Linked DNA regions of Coturnix japonica. The protein of the gene in region 1 purifies or fractionates together with the protein of each later gene. This does not show direct contact. Links are inferred from orthologs where the notes say so. Each region holds a gene or a part of one and is shown on either strand. Other genes may lie near its edges.

Evidence for each region.
Region 2: the proteins of ASB9 (region 1) and CUL5 purify together in Homo sapiens (affinity purification with mass spectrometry; 6 studies listed by BioGRID and IntAct, counting the BioPlex papers as one, with this or other methods). This does not show direct contact. The link is inferred for Coturnix japonica from reciprocal best matches to the Homo sapiens genes ASB9 and CUL5.

Annotation. Positions count from the first base shown.
Region 1 is NC_029516.1:110,029,185-110,033,438, reverse strand, and holds the start of ASB9 (ankyrin repeat and SOCS box protein 9), read right to left. Parts: upstream 2,957-4,254; 5' UTR 2,668-2,956; coding exon 2,574-2,667; intron 1-2,573. UniProt on the Homo sapiens protein: Substrate-recognition component of a cullin-5-RING E3 ubiquitin-protein ligase complex (ECS complex, also named CRL5 complex), which mediates the ubiquitination and subsequent proteasomal degradation of target proteins.
Region 2 is NC_029516.1:161,332,283-161,336,626, forward strand, and holds the start of CUL5 (cullin-5), read right to left. Parts: upstream 3,069-4,344; 5' UTR 2,787-3,068; coding exon 2,763-2,786; intron 1-2,762. UniProt on the Homo sapiens protein: Core component of multiple cullin-5-RING E3 ubiquitin-protein ligase complexes (ECS complexes, also named CRL5 complexes), which mediate the ubiquitination and subsequent proteasomal degradation of target proteins.

The DNA.
Region 1 (4,254 bases):
GGAGGGAGCCTTTATGATTAAATTTGGTAACAAACCTGTTAAGTCATGTCAAGAGCTTTTATGAAAGATTTATTTGACAGGCAAAAACATTATGTGATGCATTTAACAGGACATACCTTTCCTCAATTTGCAGCTTAATATAAAGGTCTGAGGAAATACTTTACACATGCAGCCCTTATCCATCCAACTCAGTGTTTTCTTCAGGAAAAAACAAGTTTCCATTAAGACTCCAAACCAGATCATAGAGATCTGTGGAATGACCACTAACTTCTAATTTCATAAATTCTTAACAGTGAATTAGAAGAGTGATCAGTGTCAGTGGAAAATAAAAGGGGTATATGCAAGGATGTCCTAACCTGGTTGGGCATCCTGTACTAGGCAGGACTGGGTCCTTTATCTTAAATAGAAGTGGAGGCCTAAGACAGATTTAAGATCATCTTAGGTAAATTGTGAATAAAGGGTGAAAGGTCCTGTTGACTGCATGGCACAGTAGATACAGTATCAGTAATATAAATTATCCCTATTATTACCATATACAGGCACCTGATTAAAGCCTAAATAACTGCCATTGCTAACTAGCCCTAGACTTCTTAAATTCTCTAACAGTGACATTTGAGAAAGCTCTTCAAATACTTTGCTGTCAGAGCAGTCCATGGAGAAGAAAGGCCAGTGTACACAGTTGGCACAGTTGCATTCACTGCACATATGGCCACAGCAGAGCAGATTTCTGTCTCCCAGAATATGTACAATTGCTCTCTCATGGAAAAATGAGACTGTTAATCCATATTTGAAATTTGCCTGCACCTTGATCCACAATTATGCTCTGTCAGGCCTCATGGCTTTCAGCATCCAAAACCCACTGACTTTTTGTGGCTTGGGGCCATCCAGCTCCCCTTTCACTGCTGAAAACTGCAGCCAGCCCAGAGGTTACATGAAACCTCTGGTCCTACTTGACACTGCATCCACCTGGCAGGGCAGGTATAGAGGGAGCCTTATACCAGTAACTGCATGAACAACCAAGCTTTGACTGCTGCCTGTGGATATCCTTACAGCACATTTCTAGAGGAGCATTCATTCTGTGGTAGAGGCTGAAAACATTTTTCCAGTCTCTGATCATGGAGAGGGTGCCACACGCTCAGTGACTCCCTAGGCTGCTTTCCTTTCATGGTAGCCTTACACAGTGTAGCTCACAAGGGGCTCTGAAATCCTTTCAGCTGAAGCATGCTCTTGCATACACATTTACATTTACATAAGCCTATGGCATTATGTATAACAATACTATGAGTGGTATTTTTCATATTTAAAGGATTTCACCTAACACCCGTGATATATGTAGCCAAATACATTCCCACTGCAAGCCACCAGCAGAGCTTATTGGCTCTGCTAAGAGCCAGGCAGGAGCAAGAGGAACATACTGAGCTCCAGCGCCCAACAGACCAAGCCACCCATGTTGCCTGTAGGCTTTCTCCCTCCCAGGCTCCATTTTGGCAGAGCTCATGGCCCATGTGAATTGGGTTTGGTTCACACTGTTGTAATGACGTCGCTTTCCCTTCACTCCCACCCTAGCCTCAGTGCATGCATACACATGCACACACACGAGGAGCAGCAGGCAACACAGCCAACACACTGCTCATATTTAAACTGTAGTTTGCCTCTGTTTAGTTTTCAGTGTCTCTTTGTTCTATGTGTTAAGGATAGAAGTGTTCTCAATAGCCCTGGAAAGAAGGACACTATGAAGTCATATTATCTTAATTTCCCTCCATAATCCCACTTCACTGACCATGAACTGAAGGAATGGTGTCTCAGAAAATGGGGGTGCAGGGAACATCATTAGCTAAGCTGCTGTGTAGAGATAAATTCTTTCTCCTTGGTTGGTCACTGTGTTGTATTTTCAATGGCTCTGGGCCAGCCAACAGAGCAACAGTCAGAGTGAGGGCATTTATTTGAATAACTTCACCACTGACTACAACAGTGTTGGTCACAGCTGATCACCAGGTCATAGATATTGTGGAAGAACCTGTATGGGCAAGTGGCTGTGTCTGGGCAAGGGCAGTTGGTCCTGCTGACCAGAAAGAATAAGAAAGTTAAAAAGAAAAAAAGAAGAAAAAAAAACAACAAAGTAGAAGCGGGTACAAGGAATAAAAAAGAGAAAGAAATAAAAAGCAGATAAAAATACAGAGGAAGTAAAGAAAAAGAAAAGAGGAACTGAGCCAGCGCTGAGCTGGCACCAATTGAAGTTCAACACACTGTCACACTGCAATCTCTTTTCCAGTTTGCTGTAGTTCAGTTACTGCATTTGTTTCTGCTTGCATGAACTGCACTACAGAATGTGACAGCTTTTCTGTGATGCACCAGGAAAAAAATAAAAGATAAAGAAGAAAGAAAGAAAAAAAAAACACCACAAGAGAAATCAGTATCGAGCTTAATACATCCCTCTGGGAGTGCAAGAGCAAGGGGATGTGGCTGCGGATCTGCACTGAAGTGTAACTTCGATAGAAGCTCGCCTTTGCAGCCTGACTCTGCCCGCTCCTGTTGCCAGCAGACGTGAGGACAGAGGCAGGAGCCTTACTCACCCCTCATCAGCACCTCTGATGGAGTCGTTGCAGGCACCTGGCCTCCTGCTCCTTGCGACTTGCTGCCGTTTTGATTCATTCCCTCCTCATCCATCTCAGCCCCGTCTGTCCAGTGTCTGTTTTCTCACTTCACGGTAACTCTAAGGAGTTTATATTCCATCGTTCACGGCGAGCCCCCTCGTGCAGGAGCGATCTGCCCAGCAGATGAGCGCAAAGGAGCCGGCCGCAGGCTGAGACTCGGTACTACACCGCTTTGTGCAGAAACTTAAGTACCTGGGCTGGGAGTTAGGGAAACACCTCCCTGGCCGTGCTGGTAAGCAGCCAGCGATCAGGCAGACCACACCGCACGAAGAGAGAGATGTGCCTGATGTCATATCCTCCCCAACCCCTCACCCAATCGGGGAGCCGGCCCCGGCTGTTTTTATCAGGAAGGAAATTCTTGGTTTGCCAAAAAAAGAAAAAGAAAAAGAAAAAGAAAAAGAAAAAGAAAAAGAAAAAGAAAAGAAAAACAAAAAACAAAAAACAAAAAACAACAAGGGAGAAAGAGCCAGTTCAACTAGTTGAGCAAACTCTGCCTGCGGGGGATTTGCAAAGAAAACCCAGAGAGACACCGGTGCGATTCTCACCATTCCGAGGTGAGCGGTTTGCAGGCTGCGCTTTCTCCTCCTAGCACTGCCCCGTGTGAGCCCACCGCCCCATCTCAGCAGCCGGGACCCCAGCAAGGATTGAGTGCCGAATTCCTGCCGCACGGCGGTGGTCACTGCGTGCCGTGCGGATATTGGAACCAAATGGTGCTCGCCGAGCCGTGCTCTCCACTGGAAGCTCCTTGTTGTCTCTGTGGCTGGGGAAGCGCAGCTCTTGAGCGGGCTGATTTCTTCCTCCTCACTTCAAACGGTTTCCCTGGAACAGTCACACGAAGCGTTTCATATCTGACCGCTGTCCTTTTATTTTAAATCAATTTCTTGGTCTAAAACAAGAACCACAAATTCATCAACAAATGGCAACTGATTTTCCAGAGGACCTGAGTATATGTTCATTTGTGCACAGGTGAAAGTAGGCAGAACTGCCACATGGAAATCTCACTCGTGTTGATAAAAATTGGTCTAGGAGAGCAGAAATTGCATGTGTGTATCTAAAGATCCAAATTACCAGGGGTAGGATAAAGGGGAATAGCTTTAAACTTTAAAGAGGGAGGTTTAGGTTTGATGTTAGGAGGAAATCCTTTACTCAGAAGTTGGTGAGGCGGTGGCACAGCTGCCCAGAGAAGCTGTGGTGCCCCATCCCTGGAGGGGCTCAAGGCGAGGCTGGATGGGGCCCTGGGCAGCCTGAGCTGGTGGGAGGCAGCCCTGCCTACAACAGGGGTTGGGGCTGGGTGGGCTTTGAGATCCCTTCCTTGCAATCCAAAAATTCTGTGATACTTCAATAAACCAAATTCTAACTTAAGTTAGAATTAACTAACTTAAGTTCCTGTGCTGAATTTCCCTGTCTTTGATCCAGACTGGAAATATCCTACATTACAAAGTACTTCTTGCTACAGAGTTGGATGTCCCCTGAGACCTGTCTGTCCCCTCCATAATCACTGTTCTGTGCAGCAGTCTTAGTGGGGTTAAGGCAGTGCAAGGAGAGTCCAGCAAAAGTCAAGTATTCTTTTTATTCATAAAAATGCAGATTCGTGACTCTT
Region 2 (4,344 bases), about 51 Mb from region 1:
ATGAGGTAGGACAGATGAGGTCCCAGCCTACAGTAAGCAGAATTCCCATTCTGATTCCTCTCTGCTCCCAGCAGCTCTAAATATCAGTGAGATGATCATAGCAAAGCCATTACACAAAGCAGAAAGACAGCCATGGGGAAAGCTCCGCTGTGCAACTACGTGGAACGCAGCATTCACCACAAGCTGCTCTAATTGGAAATAGGCAGGAGAAACTTAACGTATCTGGAAATATTTTAGGTTGAAGAACTAGAAAAATGCAGAAATGTTTCCAGTTTTAAGTGACAGAGCACTACGACCCACAAAACACAGCTGAAACAAATGAAAGGTAGATCATGGTTCTCATTTAAGCCTACTGCAAACCTACTTGTTTTGCTGCCTCCCCCCTAACACCAGGCTCAGACTGCAATTCAACTTGCTCTCACCAACTCTTGCATTTGCTGCCACCTCCAGCAGCTCCAACAAGCCCTACAGAAGCATCAAGACCAGCTCACGTGGGTACAGCTACAGGTTTCCTTGGCGCTGTGATAAGCTGAGCCGCTTTCTGTCCCAGGAGCTGCAGAGAAACCCGTGTGCCTTCACATCACCAATCGTCACCTCAAAGCCAACAGCTGACGCTCCAACACCTGCCCTACAAATTAATTCACCTTTCACAATTAAAAACTGCACTAGCAAAGATGAAGCGACGCCCTGTGAAGGGATGAGAGGCTGTCAGGGATCGGCTCAGCCAGGATTCACTACAAGAGTAAGAAAGGAGCATTTCACTTCATTTTCTCGGCTGTGCAGAAGGTTGAGGGAAGACGGGGAAAAGCAGCAAACTCTCAGTTCCTGTTTATCCCAACAAAACTGAGACCCGCCTAAACCTGACGTGGGTTTGATCGTGTGTTGGGGTTTTGTTTTTAATACCAAAAAACCTGATACGTTTTCACTATGCAGAGGACACTGTTTGCTTTTTCTTTCTTTTTTTATTCTTTCTTTGCCCTAAACATGAAAGCAGAATTGCATTTCACAAATCTCAGTCAGCATAAGGCACTGCCAATGGGCAACAACCTGCAATCAACAGCAATGGGAGCACACTGAGCATCACAGCTGGGGAACAAAAGCCCTTATCCAGTCACAATTATCTTATTGGTTTAGTGTGTCATTACAAACAAAGCCAAATCACTGTATGACCTTCTCTTTCACGAGGCAACAGTCGTAGTTCATTGTCTTTAGAAAACTCCCTAATTAATAAGACATACGGCTTAGAAAATACTCCCAGGTGCTCTAAACCCCCTGGTAGCATTGTTCCGGAAACACACTGTGCACGTGTATCTTTCTGTCCATTTAAAATGCTAATGATTTAAAGGCCAACTGCAGGGATGCCACTACAGCAACAAAACAGCTTCAGATCAGTGAGAGCCATCTCACAACAGCAAGGCCTTTGACTCTATTTGCACTTAGCATTCACTTATTCTTTCCTATGAGCTGAAGAGGAATGCTGACAGATCTCACAGGCCTGTTTCCAGCTATTACAAGCTATACAGCCACGTCTTGTCACAGCACACATAGGCCTTTCCAGAGCCCCTCAGCAGTGGACTAAAGCAATAACAAGCAGACACATTGTCTGAGCTTGTCCAAGCTTTAAAGCCACGCTCTCCTAAAGAAACCCCCTTTTTGCCCCTATAGCTCTGAGCGGGACGTGGAGCTTTTCTCCTGCAGTCCTGAATTCAGTCGGTTTGGTCTTATCTGCTTTAATATCTAGACAACAGGGAGGAAAATTGAATGAAAACTCATTTTCATTGCATGTCAATTTCAATAAATTTATATATATATGAGCGTGTGTATATGTGCGTGAGGAAGACATGAGGCTATTGATTATTCCTCTTTCCTTCTCACTGAGTGTCTCAGAACAGCTTCAGGGCAAACCCACAAACCCAGCACAGGTCAGGTTGGCGAAATGCAAGCAGCACCTCCTCAGAACTCTACTTAAGTATAATACATAGAACCGGCCACACATACACTTCTAAATATACAGCCATTTTATAGTGCTAACTGCTGCAAGTAAGTAAACCTGGTGCCTTGTGAAGGCCTCGCACCTCAATCAGGCTGACGCCCCAGGAGCAGCTGTGTGGGGCAGGCCGGCCCCGGGCACGTTGGCACAGCCCTGGAGGCCACAGAAGGCCCGGTCCCCGCACACGCCGCCCAGCTCAGGCCGGGCAGCCCCGGGCCGGGCACGGCCTGTGACAGCCAAAACTTGTGTGCGAACTTGGCTCGGTTTGGGGTGAGTGACATCTGCCACCAAACACCGGGAACGGGCCTGAGAACATCTGACCCCCAAAGCGGAGCCGATTAAAGGCCTCGAGGAGTTTTTCCTTCGCAGCAAAGCGCAGTTAGCAGAAAGGAAAAGGCCAGAACGCGCCGGCAACCCGACCGGCGACACCTGCTCGCGGCGAAGGCATTGCCCAACTCTTTGTTCAACTCTAAACTCCTTTTCTGCACCGCGGGGTTCCCCGCAATAAACAAAGGGCCGACCCCGTCCTGCAGCCCGGGCGGACAGAGCCGGGAGCGGGAGGCCACGGCCCGGCCGGGCCCCGAGCCGAGCCCCGAGCCGAGCCCCGAGCCGCACAGCCGAGGCCGGGCCCGGGCCGCCCCCTCCGCCCGGGGCGCAGCGCCGCGGCCTGCCCGTGCCGCCGCCCGCAGGCCCAGCCGGTGCGGGGCAGCCCCAGAGCCCGGCCCCGGCCGCCTCTCCCCGCGCGCAGGGCCGGGCCGGGCCCCGCTCTCACCTTTAAGAGATTAGACGTCGCCATGATCTCCCCCCCGCCGACGGCGGCTCCTCTCCCCGTGCTCGGCTCTGCCCCGGCCGCCGCCGCTTTACATGGCCGCGGGCCGCCCGCCCGCCCGGCCCGACCCGCGGCGGCGGCAGCAGGAGCAGCGGCCGCAGCTCCGGGTTCCCCTGCCCGGGGGCGAGGCCGGCACCGTGCTCGGGGCGCTCCGCAGCTCTACCGGGTGGCTCCTCCGCACGCAGCCGCCCCTCAGAGCCTCATGGCGGCGTCCGCCCAGGAGGCGCTCGGCAGCAGCCCCGGCTCCATGGAAGGGGCCGGCCCACATGATGCGGCGCCGCCGAGCCGGCCCCGCCGCCAAGCGCGGAGGGAGGCCCGGGCGGGAGCTCCGCCTGCAGCGACCCCTGGCCGCCGCCGACCCCCGAGAGCGCTCCCCCAGCTGAGGGCGCCCGGGGGGGTGGGCGCTTTTCCTCATGGACCCTTCAGGCTTCCCAGCTTTTCTGTTCGGTGATTCTTCAGCGTGTGGCCATAGGAGCCATAATTTTACTTTCCTGTTTAAAAAGGCATCCTTCATCCAAAACGTATCTTAAAGAAAACAATTCAACTTTCCTCTGACCTCTCAGGACAGAGCCCTACACCTCCCTCTGCTTACACAGAATCACAGAATGACCCGGGTTGAAGGGACCTCAAGGATCATGTAGTTCCAACCCCCCTGCCTGGCAGGGCCACCAAACATAACCTTTAACTAGATCAGGTTGCCCAGGGCCCGTCCAACCTGTGTCTGTAAACACCCACAAGGACGGGGCATCCACAACTCCCTGGGCAGCCTGTTCCAGGGCCTAACCACATCTCTCTAGTAAAGAACCTCCCCTAACATCCAACCTAAATCTTCCCTCTTAACTTGGATCCATTTTCCGTGTCCTGCTATTGTCAGCCCTTTCGAAGAGTTTACTCCCTCCTGGGAAGTGTCCCTTCAGGTACTGAAAGGCTGCAATGAGGTCACCCCGCACACTGTAAGGCATAGAGCCCCTAAGGTGTTAGCTACATAGAAAAGCTACATTCAACATTCAACAAATCTCTGCTCTCTGAAAATTTAAGTAGTGTTGACTAACTAAGGCCTGCAGCCTTATTATATTAATAAATAGCCTAATCAAGGCCTTCTCCTAACTGAGAAGTAACACAGAGGTACTGGAAAGTTTCTTATTTGACAAAGTTTCCAGTCTCAGAATACTTCAATAAGTCTGTTATATGGAATAAATATAACTTTCATTTAAGTATATATGCAATATTCATTGTATACATAAAGCATGCAACTATACAATGGTATGTATTGTATATAACTAGATAATACAGATGGAAGTGTATCACATACTGTCCATTGTGTACATATTCCACAGCAGTGCTGATATTATGAGGTCTCTGGCAAGGTCAGTAGAATGTGTGCATTGTGTATGTGTGCATTAAGCACAGTGTGAGTACTGCATTACAGGTACCTTTGTCTGTGAACCAGAGAAGCTGAGATACAGGCAGGTATTCTATAGGCTGTGGTGTGGATGTAGACATCTCTGGCCACTGCCCCATGACC